Linked DNA regions of Oreochromis niloticus. The protein of the gene in region 2 interacts with the protein of the main gene of each other region in a pairwise test. Links are inferred from orthologs where the notes say so. Each region holds a gene or a part of one and is shown on either strand. Other genes may lie near its edges.

Evidence for each region. The genes of interacting proteins can lie anywhere in the genome.
Region 1: the proteins of gps2 (region 2) and sestd1 interact in binary tests that used the Homo sapiens proteins (3 or more experiments, as listed by UniProt). The two-hybrid records come from large-scale screens. The link is inferred for Oreochromis niloticus from reciprocal best matches to the Homo sapiens genes GPS2 and SESTD1.

The regions. Positions count from the first base shown.
Region 1 is NC_031987.2:24,164,651-24,174,697, forward strand, and holds the start of sestd1 (SEC14 domain and spectrin repeat-containing protein 1), read left to right. Parts: upstream 1-4,884; 5' UTR 4,885-5,212; intron 5,213-6,807; coding exon 6,808-6,877; intron 6,878-7,009; coding exon 7,010-7,118; intron 7,119-7,765; coding exon 7,766-7,856; intron 7,857-7,976; coding exon 7,977-8,090; intron 8,091-10,047. Other genes in the region: solute carrier family 22 member 4, read left to right, coding at 1-45, 138-304, 1,283-1,497, 1,774-1,956, 2,686-2,821, 3,199-3,313. UniProt on the Homo sapiens protein: May act as the primary docking protein directing membrane turnover and assembly of the transient receptor potential channels TRPC4 and TRPC5.
Region 2 is NC_031967.2:15,820,158-15,831,223, reverse strand, and holds the start of gps2 (G protein pathway suppressor 2), read right to left. Parts: upstream 4,584-11,066; 5' UTR 4,396-4,583; intron 3,995-4,395; 5' UTR 3,971-3,994; coding exon 3,877-3,970; intron 2,191-3,876; coding exon 2,081-2,190; intron 1,984-2,080; coding exon 1,871-1,983; intron 1,788-1,870; coding exon 1,708-1,787; intron 1,626-1,707; coding exon 1,546-1,625; intron 1,444-1,545; coding exon 1,272-1,443; intron 8-1,271; coding exon 1-7. Other genes in the region: gabarapa (gamma-aminobutyric acid receptor-associated protein), read right to left, coding at 6,300-6,380, 6,528-6,646, 6,747-6,825, 8,151-8,240. UniProt on the Homo sapiens protein: Key regulator of inflammation, lipid metabolism and mitochondrion homeostasis that acts by inhibiting the activity of the ubiquitin-conjugating enzyme UBE2N/Ubc13, thereby inhibiting 'Lys-63'-linked ubiquitination.

The sequences.
Region 1 (10,047 bases), on a different chromosome or scaffold from region 2:
GAGAACGGAGTGGAATTTCCATCTGACCTCTTTCGCTCAGCAGAAGTAAGAGCCTCTGGCCTTATCCTTGTCCAACTTGTATCACGCTACACTACATTGGCTAATGCAATGAATTTTCTATGTGGGACATTGAACAGTCTCAACAGTCTGAACAGTCTCAGCAACCCGAACAACCTCAGCAATCTGAACAACCTGAACAATCTCAGCAATCTGAACAACCTCAGCAACCTGAGGTTTCTGGTTACCTGGGTCTGCTGAGGAACATGACCACTCGAAGTATCACACTCGTAGTGTGGTTTCTCTGGTGAGTTAAAGCTTTCTCCATGAACCTTTCACTTAGCGATAACATAATTGATAGGTTTATGACTCCAGATGAAGACACAGTAAAAACTACTAATCCCATGATTTAACATGCTGACATCACCATCAGCACATATTTTGCCGTCCTACTGCAGTAATATTTCTGCTCTCTATAAATTTCAGAGAATGAACCCTTTAAACAGTCCGTGAACTTTCCTTTACCATCGCGCTCAGAACAAACTTACATTTTGTCATGTATTGGCTGTGTAGCGGGCAGGTTGTGGACCCAAATGGAGGACTTGGGAAACAAAACATGAACTCAAAATAAGGAGCTTTAATGCTGGCTCACACAAAAAATGCAAAAATCCCAAACAATAACAGGGCAGGAACCGGAGAGGGGTAGCAAGTAGCAACACAGGTGAGGACAACTGAACATAAAGAACACACAGAAAGTAAAAAAACACATCGTGAAACAGGACCCAAGGATTGACACTTCAGCTTTGTCGGTTAGCAGTGCTTTTATTGACAGTAGTGATTACTGTGGTTTCGGGCTTCTGCCCAGGACACAGGCACTCCTCTGCAACTGTCACTCTCCCTGCTCTGTCTCACTGCAAGACATAAAAAGAGTTGCAATTCATCAGTCCAGTTCAGCAGACCTGCTCTTCTCCACCTCTGCGCTGCCCTGTGAGCTCACTGTGTCACCCCTCCTCTGCAGCAGGCCAAAGGCCACACACATAAAAAGAGACTAAAGACAGGGGAATACACAGCAACTCAACGAACTGAATATAAACCAGACTAAAACCACACACAGAAGTACATGTGAAACTAAAACTAGAGAATAGAAATATAAAGAAAACTCAGAACCCCAGGGACTCTGACATGTTTTACAACTGCCTATTGATATAACTGACATTGCAGCCTCTGAGCGATCCTAACAGGATTCATTTTATTTATTGTTTGTTTGTTCTCTTGTTGTTTGCAGGTTTTCTTTGAATGTGAGCTACTTTGGATTATCATTCAATATGACTACTATCTATGGCAACCCCTTTCTGAACTACGCCTTGCTGTCATTAATGGAGATGCCAGCACACTTGGTCAGCTGGTTTAGCGCAAAATATTTTCCTCGTCGCATGTCCTTTATTGGCTTCTCCCTGCTGGGGGCGCTGCCACTCTTCCTCATCCAGATCACTCTGCACAGTAAGTGAGACCACTGTCCTTTTCTTGCTCTCTTAGTGAATATAACTGTTGATTGTGTTGAAAAATATCAACACAATAAGCCTTTTCAACAAGGCCTCACACACACAGCCACTTTGTCAGAGGTGCTGCCCTAAATGAGCTTTATAGACAAAATATCCTGCCATGCTTAATTAGAGCTGCTAATGGATTATTTGAGAGAAGGTAAACCTGCTCACCAATGTTTGAAAATAACTTGTTTCACTCCTCATAAGCTTAAAGTCCTTCTCCTCCCTTCAGAGTATCACAACATCACCCTCACCCTGGTGCTGATGGGTAAATTTGGAGTCCTGGCTTCCGAAGGGATCCTGCACCTGCTCACTGGAGAGCTGTCTCCCACAGTCATCAGGAACACGATGTTGTCGTCTGCTGCCTTATTCTCCAGAGTGGGGTCCTCTGTCGCCCCATACCTATTGCAGCTGGGTGAGATATTTGGCATCACAATCACCCCCCCACCCCCCCTCCCCCAACAAAAGAATAAAAGAGGAAGAAGAAAGTTAAAGTTGGGACAACTGTTACAACTGAGGATACTCGTATTAAAAATGTCCTAAGCTTACTCTCCAACATTTTCTGCTTGTCTTGGGTCTGAGAAAAGAATAAAGCTATTGGGATATGATGAAAATCAAAATTAATCAAATAATCCAAGACAGTATATCAAAAATGTTGAAATTAAGTGAAATTTCACAACTTCGCTAAACTCCGTTTTGAGGCAAGAGCGAGAAATGATTGAGAAAGTTGTGCAGTGCATTAAAAAAATAGCAGATGGAAAATTGAACAACTCATTCTGTTTCAATATGTTTTTGTTACGATGTCCTTGTGCTCTATTCAGTGCCCTGTAGGCTTTAAATGATCCTAATAGCGGTCTGTTTTTAATTTACATGTTTGCAAAGCGTCCCTACTTTTGTGGAAACATCATACTAAGATGATTATTCTGGGATAGAGCACTTTGTAGTATACACAGAACCTTTATGCCTTTTTTATGCAACAGATGTCGGTGTGTAGAGATGAAGTTTTAGTTCACTTTAATGACTAAAGCATCCTTAATGCACAGCTTCTCAACTCTAAATCTAACAAACTGACCTGCAGCTCAATGATGACAGAAGTCTGTAGCAGAGAAAGTATCTGAATAATCGGCTCTGGTTTTGTCTGCAGCTGTGTTCTACGAGTTCCTGCCGTGGTTGACTGTGGGTTCCCTGTCAGTCATCAGTGTCCTTGTCTCCCTTTTCCTTCCGGAGTCATTTGGAAAACCGCTTCCTGATACCATCGACCAGATGCAAGTCATTAAGAAGTAAGCTTGTCTATTGATTATGCTAGTGATGCTGCTTTTGCAGGTTGTATATTTAGGTGTGTTCATGTCTGCACCGTATATAGATATAATAATAGATAATAGATATCCTATGAATGGATTGTAAAAAAATATATATAAATAGGAAAATCTGGTTTGATTGTTTACAGTACTACAGTCTTAAAGTGTTATGTGGGTAGGTCTGTGTCATGAGACCAGAATAAGAAATATACAGTTCATTTTGAAATATCAAAAATAAAGGCGGGTACAATGTGAAAAAAAACTGAAATGAAAAAACAAAACAATTGTTGCAAATATATATCAAATATCCATTGTTTAATATAGCCTAACTGATGCAGCTCTCCTCATTTGGCTTCTAGGTTCAAGTTTAAAGGGCTCTGTCACCAAAAGGTTGATGGGAATTCACCTGGAGTCCAGGAGCCAGCTGTCAGCGAGACTTCTCTGTCTGAGATCAAATGCTCAACTGCCTTTTAAAGGTCTTGATTGAATTTGCTTTACATGATGCTTTACCTCATCATGTAGAAAGGCCCCAGTCATGAGACCAGGAAGACCAGGAACCTTCTTGTTGTGAGGCCGCAGCAGAAATCACCACAAAAACACTTCAGCCTGAGCAAGAATATGGAAGTGAAACAAAAAAAGAAAAAAACTTAATTTTTTAAATTTGAAATGAACTTGAATTTAAGTCGTGTGAGCAGTTGCCATGCTTGGATTATACAATTTTAAATTTGTGTTTAAAACTTACAAATTTTTTTATATCATTTGTGATGAAATAAAAAGACTTTGATTCAGGAGTTACCATATAAGACGTGAGGGTGGAGTGCTTGCATTGGTTACCGATGCTTTGGATTGTTGGTGGTTACATAATAAAAATAACAATAATAGAGATGAAGATAAGAACAGTAATATTAATAATAAAATCCTCTGATTTGGTTTGGTGTGCAATGAGAAAAAAATGTGACTTGTTGTGTGTACTTTCTCTTTCTCTCTATCTTGTATTTCTTAGTATGCTTATGTGTGGTTAAATAAATCAGTGAGAAAATCAAAAGTGGCTTCACACTGACTCTGAATTTCTAGTTTTGTCTGGTTTGAAACTACACTCACTGAAACAAAAAATTTCACATTTTTGATTTTTGGTGAGCTGAAATAAGCAAAGAAAATTACAGTTTTCTTTAAATAGCACATTTCATTATATGGAATGTGTAATATATGTAAACCAAGGTTGTTATAGTTATTAAAACTAAAAACACATGCCATCCATACAATAAAAATTAGACTAAAACCAACACTGAAACTAATGAAAGCTCAAATAAAACTAGAGCTTGTCAATCAATAAAAATTAAAGTAAAACAAGAAAATCCACTCTGCAAATGAAATGAAACTAAAATTAATTTTCAAAAAAAAATCAAAATGAATTAAATAATTAATAATAATAATAATAATAATGATAATGATAATAATAACAATAATAAATACAAAACTAAACCTCCCACAGAGGATGGGTGCCAGACTAGAATTTCTACTACACCAATGTAATAATTCACAGATAAACAATTAAATTAAACTTCCTCTTTTCCCACTATTACAGTGAGTCCATAGTTTTGTTTGTTTGTTTTTTCAAGGAATTTTTTTGTCAATTAAGAAAAAGTTGATATTTTATAATTACAAGACATGGCATTCTTTGCACTGAACTACTTTTCTGTACTCTTACACATTTATCATATATCATCATATTTATGTTTGTATTTATATTTATCTATTTAGCAAAGTGGCCACGTGTGTGCCCTGATGTAAAATGAATACTGAGGAAGTGGGGAAAATAAAACTTTACACACGCACGCACACACACACACACACACACACACACACACACAAACTATTTCCAAGGTTTCTGAAAAAAACAAAACAAAAAACAAGGGGGCAAAAGTGTGCAAATCGTGGTTGTAAATAAATGTGATAAGTAATGCATAACTAAACATTGGCTCCTCTGTAATGTGGTGAGAAATTGTTCCTCCAGGCATTTATTTGGAAAGTCGTTTTCACCGGAAGTCGCGTTCTTAATTTGGCTACACTGAGGCTGCGCACAACAGCCAGCTCCAACGCCTGCCTTGTGAGAGTGTGTGTTTGGAGCAGGACTGCAGCGTTGTTGAAAGCGTACTGTGAGCCCGCTGAGCTCCTCGGTGTTTTTCATGGAGAACAGATTCACTATCTGCTGATAAATCCGCCCGAGAGGACACAGAATAGGAGGAGGAGGGAAGCGAGAGGAAGAAGGGAAAAACTGCAGAGGAGAAGAAGCGACAGAGGAGAAGAGGAGGGGGGACTAGGAGGAGGAAAAAAATCGGGACAGGGAAAAATGCCGCAGATTTGACTGAAAAGGTAAGAAAACGTGCGGGATCAATAGCTACTGTTGTGGATCCCGGAGCTGCCGAGGCTGGGCGGGTCGAGGTTTGCGGTGAAGGGGAGGTTACGGCTGCAGCAGCCGCAGTCTGCAGCTGTGAATGTAGGTCATTGTGTCTGTGGGCCGAGCCGAACCAAGCCGAGACACACCGAGCTGGGCCGGATAAGCCGCAGGAGAACGAAGGTGAAGCCCCATCAGCAGCAGCAGCAGCAGCACCAGGGGGAGGAGGTGGACACAGACTGGTGCTGCAGGGACCAAATCACTTAATCTAACTAATACTACATCTGCTGCAAATAGCACAATGAACACCTTTGTGCCAAATCATAAATGTGACGCAAAGTTTAGCAGAGGAGTAGAACAGAAACAGAAGATAGTGGAGCATGAGTTTATACTTTTTAAGAAAGAGGTTAAAATGATAAAATATGTAGTGACTGAAAGAAAACTTCCTTTACAAAATCTTCAACTAGTCATCAGAACTGTGATCAAATGTAATAAAGTAAGAACCCCACAGCTCTCCAGACACCAGATCGACATGACTCACTGTAAGGACAAAAATAAGAATACTGCAAACACAAAGCTTTAATATAACTTCAAGTTAGAAGCTAGATGACGTCTGTGTGCCACATCACGTCAAGGTCACTATGTGAATTGCATGATTGCACTCAGCATGCCTGTGTAACTGAATACAGAATCCGAACACTACACTAAAATTAAAGGAGTTGCAAGCCTGTGTTATGGCTTGCATGGGGGTGATTGCTGTGTCTCAAATTACAAGCAACAGAAAGCAGCTTAGATGGTAAGGAGCTAAATCTACAAAAACGCTGAGATGGAATAAAAAAGGAGTAGTTTGACATTTTTCTGTAGAGCCTACATTAAGTCCTCCAGCAGTGCTGTAATTAACTGAAAAGCCCAGACTGGTTCTTTAAAGGAGCACAGCCTTTAATAGGAGAGTGTGAGAAACAATGCAACAACTGTAGAAAGGGTGGGGGTTAAAAAAAATCACCACAGATGTTAAGTCGGCCGATAAGCTGACAGAAATGCAAACTGACTGATTTACTGGCTGACTGCTTGAACCACGCTGACATGCCGATGAGGCAGGCAGTAAATCGCAGGCCGAGGCCGGAGCCAAGAATCTGAATCGGCCGGGAGAAGCGCCAGCTGAGAGAAAATCCGCACACGAAAATCACAGTGCTGCTCCGCTGATATTGCTCTGACACTTCGGAGCTGGACGCAGCGTTTTAGCAGCGACCCCCGGAGCTGTGTTTTATCACCTATGGCTGTTGTGCTCCTGCACTGACTTGCAAGGACGCTGTACCCTCGATAGCTGTGGGATTTCTGTGTAGTTACTGCGCATTCACATTCTGGTCAAGCCCCTCAGAGAGCTGTGGATTAAAGTGTGAGCCTGTGGGCCAACATCTGATCGTGCAGGTTTGAAAACTGTGGTCTAGTGTTGGAGTTTATTGACTATCACGTGTAACTGTGGGCCTCGTTTCCACTTACTCAGACTGCTTTTAGTTTAAGAAAGGATACCTTAGACTTAAGGAGGAAAAACTGTCTGCATGTGTGTTTACAGATGTCTGCTGTCACAATGGAAGCGACCACCATCCTCCCCATTCTCAAGAAGAAACTGGCCTTCTTGTCAGGTAAAACACTTCGATTTAAAATAAAATATCGACACCTGTTTCCTCAATCCTGGGGTCATCCCAGTTAGCACTGCTGTTTGAGCTGTAATCTGATTCCTCCCCTCTCCCACCGGTCTGCCTGTCACTCTTTAGGGGGCAAAGACCGGCGCAGTGGTCTGATCCTGACCATCCCTCTCAGTTCAGATCAGACCAGCATGGAGGAGCTTAGCGCCACGCTGGACTACCTGCTTAGCATCCCAAGGTACACACAGAGACACGACTGAGGACAGTCTGGTGTGTGTCCCAGAGCAGTGTTATCACCCGGAGACTGTTGGATTTCACTTTTAATGCTTTTAGACATGTTTGGGTTTTGGCTTGTCAGCGAGGAGCTGCTGGATCTGAACCCTGTGGCTCGAGTGTAGAAATCCAGCTTAAAGGATGATTCTAGTTTATTAAGTGTTACTATTTTTCAGCTCGTCCTTTTTGAGCGTCCCCAGCACGATCTGACAGCTGTAATTCTTGGCAGCTCGACAGGTGATTCAGTCCCATTTTCCATATCTGGCCTCTTCAGCTCACGCTTCGTTTCTTCCAAAACACGCTGGATGAGCTGTTCAAGCTCCTGTAGGTTGCTTATAGCTGACAAATCGGTATATAGATGGACTTGAAAGAGGAGCAGAAATATACGCGATGCTGGGAATGTGTGAATAGCATATAAAACAAATAAAAAAAATAGTCTCAGGCTTTATTTTTGTTACTATTTGTACTGATGAAGAAAACATAAAGTAGCCTCGGTAGCAACAGCTTGGTGAGCTGGCCACCCAAATGATGCTCAAACAGGAAACTGTGTATGTAAATGATGGGGTGTGGGTGCGCTGTTGGTAACACACTCTCTCTCTTTGTCTGTGCCAGTGAGAAGTGTAAGGCTCGGGGTTTCACTGTTATCGTGGATGGACGGAAGTCTCAGTGGAACACCGTGAAGACTGTGGTGCTCATGTTGCAGGTAGAAACACATTTAGAGTCCCTGCAGGCACAACGCAGGCTTAAGCTGCATTAATGCATTGGCTGCTATGGGTGTTCTTTAAAAAGCAGTGGGCTAATGATGGCGTTGATGCTGTTTCAGAATGTGATCCCACCTGAAGTGTCGCTGGTCTGCGTGGTGAAGCCAGATGAATTCTGGGATAAGAAGGTGACACACTTCTGCTTCTGGAAGGAGAAAGACCGTCTGGGCTTTGAGGTGAGTCTCTCAGCTGCTTCTGCTTCAGCTTGCAGCTAACTTTACACTTAAAACCCGCTCTCTCCGGAGCAGTGGGTTTGTGGATGTTGAAGATTTGTACCTCAAATGAAAAAAAGTCATATTTTGCCCCATGTGAAGCTGGGATTTTCCCCATCTGGGGCCATTTTAAACAAATGGTCGGCATTTGAGAAGCATTTCTTGTAAACCTCAGATTATTAGAGTGGGGTTTGGTTCCCTTCATCACTGCTCCAACTTTCCATGTGAACACTGCACATATTCCATATATCCTTACGAAGACAGCACAGAGACTAACACTGTTATTTTTTGCAGTATTATACATGTTTTGCTTTTGAGAAATGATGGCACCTAATCCAAAGCTCTGGCTTTAGATTTCTGTCACACGTGGTGTAAACTCTCTTAGTTTCCATCTCCAGCCTGTCAAAAATCAGGTTGATTCCCACGTGTACTTTTAAATTCACAAGCAGCTGCTCGCAAGAGCAGGTAGTACTTCCCCTAGCACTTGAGAGGGCCTAACAGCATATGTTGGCTGCTTTGTTTGCTTAGTTTTACACATGCAGTTGTTAAGTTTGCGTGTTGGGATACCTGCTTGTGGGGAAATAACATCTGCTTGCAATCATGTTTCATCATGCTCATCATTTTATGACGGAAATCCATGGCCACACATCGGCATCAGGGCAACACCTTACAAACTGTGCTCACATCAGCATCGGCTTCACTTTGTGCTTATGCTAAACTATAGAGGCGGTAGTGGGATACCTGTAAAACTTAACCTTGTAAGTACTGGTCATTATCAGCAGGCTGCTTGTGCTTATATTGGCGTCTCTCGCAGTGCAATGCTCTGCCCTAAGTATAGCCCCACACAGCTGCGTGGCTCCAGACTCCTGTTACTGCGGCTGTGAGAAGTGGTTCTAATATTGTATTTATTTTATTTTCACTTTGTTTTGTGCTGACTCTTAACTCAGTCACTTGTGCACTGGTTACTTTTGGGGCAGTTTATGCGAAATAATCAGTTATACTATTCATCCTGGAAAATCTTTGGTTTTTAGGATACTTGAAAGTAGAATGGGAGGCAGAGCCTTGAGGTTTCAGGCCCCTCTTCTTCCCAGTTTGGATTTGGGAGACAGACACCCTCGCTACTTTTACTTTAAGATTAGGTTTAAAACACTTCTTTTCGATAAAAGGATCATGTGTCCCTGAATCCTCTCTTAGTAACTCTGCAGGAGGCTGAGACTGCTGGGAGCTTCCCATGATGCACTGTTTCTTCTTCACTTTCTGTGTGTTTATACAACACTTTGTATTTAATCATTACTTAGTATTAATCTCTGGCTCTCCCTTCCACAGTGTGTCTTTTGTCTTCTTCCCCTCACCCCCAACCAGTCACAGCAGGTGGCTGCCTCTTGCTGAGTGTGGTTCTGCTGGAGGTTTCTTCCTGTTAAAAGGGAGTTTTTCCTTCCCACTATCACCAGGTGCTTGCTCAAAGGGGGTCGTGTGATTGTTCATGTTTTCTGTCTGTTATTGTATGGTCTTTATATTACAGTATGAAGCACCGTGTGGTGACTGTTGGCGTTACGTAAATAAAGTTGAATTGATTTCTTCTCAGCCACCAAAAGGTTGTTGGTGCAACTTTGTGTCCTCGTCTTCAGACAAAAACGGTGTAACTGCCACACCTAAAGGATGAAATGGCTGCTTTTACGTGGAGGACTTGGACCAGTTTGAATGTCCCAGTTTTTCTCCAACATTGGAATGAACCAAACGATTTTTTTCATTCTCATTTTCTTTTCCTCTTGATTTTGGTTTAAAATACACACACACACACACACACACACACACACACACCCTTCTGATCTTTGTTGTCACCCGATATCACGCACAGAGCAAGTACGTCAGCTATAATAACCTTGAGCGTCATTAACTGTCCTGAGTGCTGCTGGAAACC
Region 2 (11,066 bases):
GATGCGCCTGTGGGGAAAAAGGCAAAGTCATTACAATCAATACATCTCACTGTGATCTGATTGTTTTAATGATCAATCAGCGGGTTTCCGACATTACTGACGCCACACGGGAGCATCTGAATAGCATACCGCTGACTCCACGGTGCATCCACATTTGAAAAATGCAAGCTTAAAGAAAAATGACTTCGCACTCAGTGGGGGATTTTATTTTTCGGCTGAAATCAGGCTGCTTTGAACAAACGAAAGCTGTCGGCTGGACTGTCAGTTTAGAGCTTAGACTGTTTGAGCGGAGAGTTTCAAACTGTGCGAGAAATGATTTCATAGTTGATTTGTATAAACACGATGTACACGTCTATGTCAATCAAAATCAACTAAGACTGGTGGTACCTGTGGGCTGAGATGGGCTCAGCCTACTCAAACATGCATCTTGCTCAACAAAAGCATTTCTCTTTATGCCAATGAACACATATTAAAATACCAGCACTGTTTCTAACTTCTGATTGGTTGGACAGTCTTTCCTTTCTCTTCAAATTCAAACACCCACAGGGCTCTGAAGCAGGCCCAGAATGAAGCTTGATGACTCAGACTACACACAGACACACACATACATGATCTACTGCTTACCAGAGGTCACACACTCACACACATAATGTTCTCTGAACCATATATGGACTCAATTACATGTATTAGTTTAACTTTAGCTATATTTATGTGTATCATGCTTATTACTGTCAAGACTCTGATAAGGATATAGCCTTAAAACTACTAGAATGCCTTCCTTAACCTTTGAATAATGGCTATACCCTCCCTCTGGACTGCCCAACTATACTTCAACAAGCCCAGCCTGACACAGCAGCCTGCAACCGGCTCAGATTGTATTCTATGTCAGCTCCTGAAATCCAAGTAAAGATGGAGGAATCCCACACATGATGCTGATAATTCATTTCTTTGTGAGTTCACTGTGCCACTAGAGAACATTGTTTGAACATTAAAGGACAAAATGACCTCTTACACAATTACAACTAGTGTATAACACATTTGTGTTTGTGAACTGTGACGCACAAACAGCGTGGTACTGTGCTCTGCTGTTTTACACCTTCACCTAATGTGCATCTTATTTCACTCCCTCGTTTCCTGTTTCTTCCTGTCTTATACAGTTTTTTTTTATCGTGTATATGACTGGATGTAAGTCATGTCACTGTGACACATTACTCAAAATTTTACTGTACCACTGTACACATTGACAGCAAAGAAATCTTATCTCATCTTACCTCTGATCTGAGAGCTGCTTGCGAAACTGACTGGCACTGAGGGTCCGGGGGCGTAGCTGGAAGGATGCTGAGCCTGAGCCACTCCGTAGGGCTCATGGACCCCCTGACCTCCGCTGAACTGGCCATGCTCTGCGGAGCCTGAGCTGAAGCCAGGCGTCTGATAATGGCGTGCCTAAAAGAGGACAACGTGCACATGTAAACACTGTAAGAAGCATATTATATAGATCGTATTATATTTTATGAATTCTTTAAGTGGAACACTCCTTTTACTCACAGGGAGGACAGCAGCTGGGAACAGCTGTTTGCTCCTTTCTCCGAGCAGTGGGGCAGGTCTGCTGTGGCTGACTGGATTGCCTGAAGGAGAGAAAAGGAGAATGTCACTATATGAAAAATAATGACGACTCTGGCAAGGCGCAGAACCTGGAACTTTTCTCGCCTTGAATGCCGAGGAGGTGCTGTCCTGGGTGCATGGGCAGACTCTGCTGGTAGCTCGCTGATGTCAAAGTTGTAATATCACTAAAGAAGGAGACCAAAAAGATTAACCGACAATTAACAATCCTCTGACAAAACAACAAACTAAGTGAAGTACATATAGAAACCTCTGCTCTTTTCTTCGTCTTTTCTCCTCTTCGTGGAGAACTTTCTTGAGCTGTAAAAAGAGCTGATGTTTCTCTTCTTGTAGTCCCTGAAGTTTTTCCCCCATCTTCATCACCTGATGTTTATTTGAGGAAATCATGGTGTAAGAACACACAGACTTTGTTTTGTATAGAGCTGGGAGCACAGACTAGCTGAAATGTCACATTTCAAACCTGTTCTTTTGTTTCCTCCAAGGACATCCTCTCCTCTATCTCTTTTGTCCTCTTCCTCTCTTCCTCTTCCTTCATCTTCTGCTCCATCATTTTGTCCACCTCTTCCTCCTCTGAAAAAAAGTACATTTATTAAGGTGAGTATAATGTAGCTACTTTTTTTTGATTGCCTTTTAGATCTATGACCAAAGAACAGGTTGCAGGCAGACAGCTATAACATATACACTCACCAGCCACTTTTTTAGGTACATTTTGCTACTATAGGGTTGAACCCCTTTATTCCTTTAAAACTGTCTTAATTCTTCACTGGACATATTCAACGATGTGCTGTAAACATTCCTCAGAAATGATCCATGTTGACATGGCACATCACACAGCTGCTGCACATTCATGATGTGAATCTCTTGTTCCACCGCATCCCAAGGTGCTCTATTAAATTCAGATCTGGTGACTGTGGATGTAGTTTAACTACAGTGAACTCACTGTCATGTTCAAGAAACCAGTTTCAATTTGATTTGAGTTTTGAGACATGGTGTGCTATCCTGCTGGAAGCAGACGCACATGTTCATCAACAATACTAGGGCTGACGACTCTTAATTTGTCCTAAGAGGTCCACCGTGTTCCAAGAGAAAAATCACCATATCATTGCACCATTGATACAAAGCAGGATGGAATCATACTCTTATGCCGTTTACACCTAAAAGTGAGCCTACCATCTGAATATTGCAGTGGAAACTGACACTCATCAGACCGGCAAATGTTTTGTTTTGTTTTTTGTCAATCTTCTATTGCAAAATTTTGGTGAGCCTGTGCAAACTGTAGCTTCAGTTTCCTGTTCTTAGCTGATAGGAGCGGTGCCCTGTGCTGCTTTAACCCATCTGCTTCATGGTTTGACGTGTTGTGCATTCAGTGACACCTTGGTTGTAATATAGTTCGAGCAAAGTCATTTAAATCACATTTTTTCCTCATTCTGATGCTCAATTTGAACTTTAGTGGGTCGTCTTGACCATGTCGATATGGTAAATGCACTGGATGATTATGTATTTGTACCTAACAAACTAGCAGGTGAGTGTATTATTACATAGTAAATCACAATCATGGATGGATAAATGCAGAGAGGAATTTCCCCACGGGGATCAATAAAGTATACATTATTATTATAGATTATTTGAAGAATACACGCATAAACATAGGACTTTAATCTAGATGACGCAGACCTTAGTGAAATTTTCCAGAATTACAAAGAAAGAACAAGAAAAGTTAATTAATTTGTTTTATTGGCTAAATGCTAAAAACAATTTATACTCTGGAGCAGCGGTCCCCAACCCCCGGGCCTCGGACCGGTACCGGTCCGTGAGTCGTTCGGTACCGGGCCGCGAGAGTTGAGGTTCAGGTGTGAAATGTATGGTTTTCAGGGTTTTTATCGGTTTTCAGCGTTATTTTGTTATTGTTTTTATCGTTAACTCGGTTTTCCTGGGTCTTTTCACGTGTGTTATGAATAAATCTTCTTTTTTTCGGTACCGGCACTAGTTTTATTTTGTTGTATTCATCCGCGACACCTCATTGCCGGTCCGTGAAAATATTGTCGGGCATAAACCGGTCCGTGGCGCAAAAAAGGTTGGGGACCGCTGCTCTGGAGTATTACCTTTCCAAACACAGCTCAGCATCTTAACAGTGCTTGCTTATTTCTACAAGAATCCTTAAAGGTGTCAGATGTGACACCCTGTGACACACTAGGGCTAAACTACTTTTTAAAGCGCATACACACACACACACACACACACAAAATGAGAGAGCACCTTGTCTCTTGCGCTCTCTTTCCCTCATTATGTGTTTGTGGAGAGCTCTGGCCATCGCGTTGGACAGCTTGGGTCTCTCAAGCAGGGCGGGCATTGTGACAGGCAGTGGAGGGGCCAGCTGGTGTGGGTCAAAATGTCAGTAATGAATCGACAAGGTCAGATGAAATATTTAAAGTTCATTAAACTACATCAAAGTGTGCATCTACGCTCACCCAAACAGGTGTAACAACCACAGGCCTCGCTAGCTAGCCGATATCGGCCTAAGTTAGCACAGATAGCTGTACTTCCCAATACATGACAATATTTAGAGTATAATGCACCAACGGAAGGCATAGTAATTTAATATTACAAGTGATGTAGCTTACAAGTGTAAACCCCTGACAAAAATTATATATTTTAACTTAACCGGGAACAAACGTTAGCTAGCGAGGCTAGCTGCAGAGCACTTAACTGCGTTACGCATTTTATCCTACATGATCTGCTTTGAATTCTGTGCTGATAAAACTGTAAAAAGCTTACTTTTATTTCGTTGTGAGTCTTTTAATAAGAATCTAACCGTCTGGCGGTTTTCAGCTTGATAGACCTCGAGCGGTTAAAACAGATAAAAATCAAAACTTCTCCCACAAAACATAAACAGACGGAGCGATTTCCAGACCGGGGATGCTGTTGCATTTCCGGTTCAAAGAACGCGGTCACGCTTCGAAGTGCACTTTGGGAGTTGTAGTTTTGAAGTGCAATGCGGCGAATCTCACGTTGACGTCAGCAAAATGAAACTTCCAAGCAGTTTTGTGTATGTCGTGTTTTCTTTCCTTGATGCTTGATTTGACAGTTTTACAGTTCAAATATTTGATTTCCTATCAAGGGAATGACTTAGGAAACACCAAAGCTTCCTTGTGCCGAATGTGGGCTAACCACTTTGATTTCATTGGCAAAACATGAGTAATTTCCTCATTAATTACAACAGTAAATTACATGTTCCACTTGTCTTTTTTTCTTTTATACTTACATTACATACTACCTTCTTTGTTATTTGCTACTTACACAGAACTGTTCAACTATTAGAGCACTCAAAGCACTTTCTAACTGCAAGTCTCATTCACCCAAACACTTTTCTTTTCATGAATGTACTGAGGTCAAATTGGGTTTTAGTATCTTGGCTAAACATACTTTGACTTGTAGGCTAGAGAAGCCAGGGATCAAACTACCAACTCTCTGATTAGTAGAAAACCTGCTCTACCAACTGAGCCACATCAGAGCTTCCTTCCCGTTTTTTTTTTTGTATGTCCCTGTCCTACCAGTCTACTTTTGTAACGCCTTAAAGAAAGCAGGTGGAGGAAAGAATAGATGTTGGAGTCAAATGGCTTCCTTGCATATAACAAAAATTATAAACATACACGTGGACATGCATGACTTTGCGAGTCAGATTATCAGTGCAGCAACAGAAGCTGATATGATAAAACAACCCACGCAACCAGAAAAAAAAAACAAACTAAATCACAGGTTCATGTTTTTGTAACTTTTGTAACTCCCTTGAAGCGCACAGTGTCAAATTAACCAATGTAACGTTTCATTACATTGAAAGGCACAACTCACGTGGCTAAAAAAATAAAAGTGTAATTATTTGTTACTCTGTAGCAAAGGGACAAAAAAGACAAACAGCAGATAGTATTTCATCACATTTTATTATGTATGGTCATGAATAGAGAGAAAGAGCCAGTAACGCAGCTGTATACAGAGTTCAAATTGTAATTTTTTTTTTCTTACAAAAAAAAACAAACCCTTAAAAAAAAGAGAAGAAAAAAAATTGCACTCAGCTTTACACAACCCTTAGAAAGTAAGCCATCTAAAAATTAACAACAATAACAACAATAATCATTAGCAGTCAACATAATAGTCTTACCACTTAAAGCAGAGGATGATAATTTAGTCTGAATTCTATTATACTCCTTGCTAAGGTCCAATGCAGGGCAGCAAGCTAAATTCTCCTTAACATGCTTTAAATAAATTTTGCCACTTTAGTTTGTTTTTTCCTAGTGAAAGAGTTCTCTTTCCCTTTCATTTCTCAGCCTAAGCTCAAACTAACACAAATGGAAAAAAAAAGAAAAAAAAAAAAGGCCTATTTCTAGTATTATTTCATTAATCTCTCTCATTGTTTTTAAGTAAAGTACAATCGGTTTGACACTAGAAATTGAACTGGCCATGAGACCACTTAGTTACTGTTGAAAAGAAAAGTGGGAGACAAATACAATTCAGACTGCAGAGTAATAAAGACAGAATTGGATGCAAGAGGGGTAATGTATGGGTGGTGAAAGTGCATTTGACATATTCACTCTGGGAACTGTAGGCTGCTGAGCTGGATTTAATATTTAAATGAATGAATGGATGTGGAGGTCTCAGAAAGGTGGGTAGTGGTTGAAGTGGGATCAGATTTCCCTTTGGCTGTCCCCATACACACTCTCATCACTGTAGGCAATGTAGAGGAAAAAGTCCTCTTCATGATGCTCCTGATGGAAGGGGAAAAAAGAAAAAACATGTTAGCGCAATATCAATAATGTAGGGAGAGGCTAAAGAGGAACAACCAAAGGCAACATGCTGGTTAAGCCATAATGTGAGAGCATGTGAGTGAGCAGGAAGCTTAACAGGACTCTTGCCTGGTACAACAATCCCATGGTAGCTGAGGTGGGTGGAATGACGTTGTTTACAAAGAAGAAGAGCGCATCCTCAGCTCGCAAGTGGATTCTTTTCCGGATGAGGAAGTAAAACTGTCCCACTGATGAAAGAGACAATATGTAATAGTAGAAATTTCAGATGTGACATTGCCACTCTAAAATAGAAGTAAACAACTTTTTATGCTCCAAGGCAATGTTTACCCGTCAGGTCAGAGGGGACAAGGTACTTCTTCTTGTCCAGATCTCCTATTCTGGCTTTGGGTGCTTTCTCCACAATTACCTAAAAGGTTAGAAAAACAAAAGAAAAAAAAGAAAAGAAAGAAAAAAAAAAAAAAAAAAAACACAACAGGTGTACAACATGTTTTTATTAGAAAGGCTGCAAGTGTAGAGGGTGAAATATGGTGTTCGCTTCATTGTCTCGGAAAAGGGATCTGAGAGTGTACCAAACTGTCAGTCAAGCGAGGCCGAGCATATCGAACCCAGACGAAGTGTTTAATATAACACAGATTATATTTCGAAAAAGTATTTCAGTGTTGGAAAGAACCTGGTATATTTACACCCCGGCTATCAGACGTGCCGTTTAATTTTTGAACGCCTTCCTTACTAAACCTCTTTAAGTCTCTCTCCAGTCTAAAAATAGGACTGGTAAAATATCACTTGCCCACACGGTAAACACTGACTCCACAATTAATCAGCGTTTTTGCCCCCTCTTTTTTTAAATGAATCAGCACCTGATGTGACATTTTTTTGTCAGTACCATTTTATGATGGTGAATGAGAGTTTGAATTCAAATGATCAGACAAAACACGACATCTGTGAATGTCATCTGGGTCTTTGGGAAGTTGTTATGGACTGTTTTCACCATTTAGTAACCAAATAGGTATTCAATTAATAGAGAAAATAAGCAGTGGGTAATTGACTACGATAGTTAATTGTTTGTTGTAGCCACAGAACAAGTTTATGGTAAACGACGACTGAAGGACTGTAAAACGAAAGCTTAAAAGTGATCACGATTGAAAGGCAAGTGAATTTCGTCACACTTTACAGGAAAAACCCAAAATCCCCACATTAAATCAGCTGATAGTTGTGACACAAAGGGTCTCGATAGGCCAGACTAACTGGGGAAAGCCTTTATGATTTATCTCCAAGAAGCTGGGCGACGTAAACAACCCCGTTTTGTTGACAGCATCTATTTTAAGGCGCTCTACTGCGTTTCAACATCCAGCTACAGACCACTAAAAGAGTCTGTGCACACCTGCATGTCTTCACCGTAACCACCGTTACAGTCATAACCACCATTATCTGGCCACCAATGATGATTCACGGAAGAATAACACGGAGATCACCTGCTGGCCTGCTCAAAGCGGCCGAAATTCCTACTTAACCTCTGCCGTTGTTAGCTACCATGTGTGGCGGTTACAACGTGGCAGTAAACAAACTAAGCAATACATTGTGTGGGTAAAATCTCACTACAATATCACATTTAGATATTAAGCTTACATTAGTAATAAAAATAAAACAGTGAGCATAACGACATTAGCCTGACAGCAGTATAACAGCAAGGCAACATAGCTAGCTGTCAAGGAGCTAACGTTAGCTACTTACTGGCACCCTGTCCGGATACTTCTTTCTTATTTTCTCGCCTTCGGACCGCCTCTTCTCAAAGGGATGCTCTTCTTTGTACTGAAACTTCATCTTTAAAAGAGATGACAGACAACAAGTCGGTCACTCCGCGGTGGTACGGGTTGCTTAAGAAGTGACTCGAATCGCGGACACACAAACACAAACGATGCTAACTAGCCTTAGCCTCGCCACAGCTGTTTTCCTAGTGCGACTGCAGCGGAGGGATACAATAACAAGATGACGTAGAGGAAAGGGTAGTTCGCAGGGGCGTACCTCACCTTGTTTTAAACCCTGTTAACGTCGACTGTGTGATGATAATCGACGCGTATTCAAGAAAAAAATAATAACAATCTTGAAATAAACAGTATACGAAGGGCTTACGAATCAACGTTGCCTTTCTTTCTTTTTCTTTTCTTTTACGTGGAACTATTTTATGTTTTATCAGCCGCTGCGCATAAAGACGCTGGGCAGGGCACTGAGGAGGGATCTGTCCTTGTCATATGACCGAGGCCCAGCAGTCTGTGGTTGGGGGGGAGAAACTGAAAAACATGCGACATTTCATTGTGCTACGGGTTTCGCTGATGCACGGTGATAAACCCTGAACCAAACACGTTTATCACATTTCTGCAGCATGTTGGATTATTTTATGTAAGCATAAGTTACTGCGTATTTAATGGTGAACACAGTGCCTACTAAGTTTCCTCTAATTACTCGGGGTTTACGACTCATTACACCATAACAGACGAAAGCAGCAAATAATCAGGAGTTTTATCATTTATGCAAATTGTTGCTAAATGCTGTTTTTAGGATAACTTTATGTGTAACTATGGGAATTTACTGGGTTATTTTATTCATAAGTTTATATATTAAAAAAGAGTTTAATTTTTAAGTTTTGACATGAACACATTTGGTAAACAAACTGTGCCTCCAAAGCTGCCACTCATACATCCTGAAACACTCAGGAAAAGTTACTCACCTGCCTATTGCGCATATGACCCACAGGTCTGTGAGTCACATCCATGTGACATCCTTTTGGTTCAAAACCTCATGATCTTCCTTTTGTGCACAGTGATGAGACAGATTGCATATATCTAAAAATTACAACACATATTTCTGTTAAAGTGAAACAACCCTCTCCTGCTTCAGACCAGAACGTTGGCTGATAATTTTAATATTGTCTCTTGTTTTCTTTATTGGTTATACATTTTTTTGGTTGTATTTTTTCCCCCTTTGTGTTCTAGATTTCAGTCTCATGGCTCTTTCACAGCAGGAACTTTAAGAATTAAAGTGTATACTCAGCTGATGACAAACACTGACTGATCTACATTAAACATGATATTCTTTTTTTTTTTTTTGCCTCTCCCACTCGGCACTGTAGCAATTAGAATGATTGTCTGAAGGCCAAGAAAAATGCCTAACGGATTTATTTTTCCAAGTGGATCATTATGGCTTTGCCGTGGTCCATTTGATTGATCTTTATTATTATTAATTATATTATTTTATTTTTTAATTTATTTTTAACTTTTAAGTTATTACAAACGGAAGAGAGATGGCTGGAGGATAGGAAAGGGAAAGAACTAGACAAGAGAAGTTCAAGAAAAGGAGAGAGGAAGAGGGACAGTGAAAAAAAAGACACTAAAAAAATCAGCTGGATTACCTGCTGGAAGAAAAAAAAGAAAACAAGCAAAAGCAGCCACTGGGAGTGAGCCAGTACATACTCGAGCACCCAGCCCTGGATACCGTGAACCACCAAAGCACCGATGGCTGAGGGCATCAGCCACTGGCAGGGAGTGTGGTGGAGGGAGATAGACCCCCACACCTGGGGGGGCCTGAGATGTTCCCAGAGAGGTGGAGTCTAAGACCCGACCTGACACATAGACAAACATGCATTCCCATCCTCATGCACACATATGCAAATACTCAGCACTCGCCCAATGTGAAGACAAACAGAAATGAACACTGTACACACACTCACATCCCCCAGGTCCAGGTACAATCACCCCCAAAGGGGCAATCCGCCCCCAGGCCCTGGAGATGTTGCACTTTGCTCTGGGGTGGAGACAAGCAGACCGCCCCCAGTCCTGCAGCAGCAGGGAGGCCAAGCATCCCAGACCCCAACCAAACAGCTAACTCTTCCCCCCGGCCCCCCACCCCCAATGGTGAACAGAGAACAGGGGTGTGAGATTGATAACATGATAGATTCTTCTTGGAGTGAGCTCGCAAAGGAATCCGCTCGATTTGCAAGGTGGATGAAAGCAAGGCAGGTTTAAAGGGGAACCTATTACAGTTTTCCTAATTTTCTATCACATGTACATGCGTCACTTTATTAGGTGTCTCAATTCTTCGTGGCACAGATTCAACAAGTTGTTGGAAAAATTTCTCAAAGATTTTGGTCCATGTCGGCGTGATCACACAGCATTACAGTTGCTGCAGCTTTGCACATCCATGATGTGAATCTCCTACTTCACCACATCCCAAACGTGCTTATTGGACTGCGATACGGTGACTGTGGAGGTCATTAGACTAAAGCAAACTTACCTTCAAGAAACCACTTTAATATGATTTAAAGTTTGTGACATGGTGTGTTATCCTGCTGGAAGCAGCCATCAGAAGATGCGTGCACTAGTCAAAAGCGATTGACATGCTCAGCAACAATCATCAGGTAGGCTGTGGTGTTTAAATGATGCTCAGTTGACACTAAGGGGCCCAAAGTGAACCAAGATAATATTCTCCACAGTATCACACCACCAGTAGCAGTCTCAACTGTTAATATAAGAAAGGATGGAACCATGTTTTCATGCGGATGGCGGGGTCAAATTCTGAGTCTACCATCTGAATGCTGCAGCAGAAACTTATCAGACCAGGCAACATTTACTTTTGTGAGCCTGTGCAAACTGT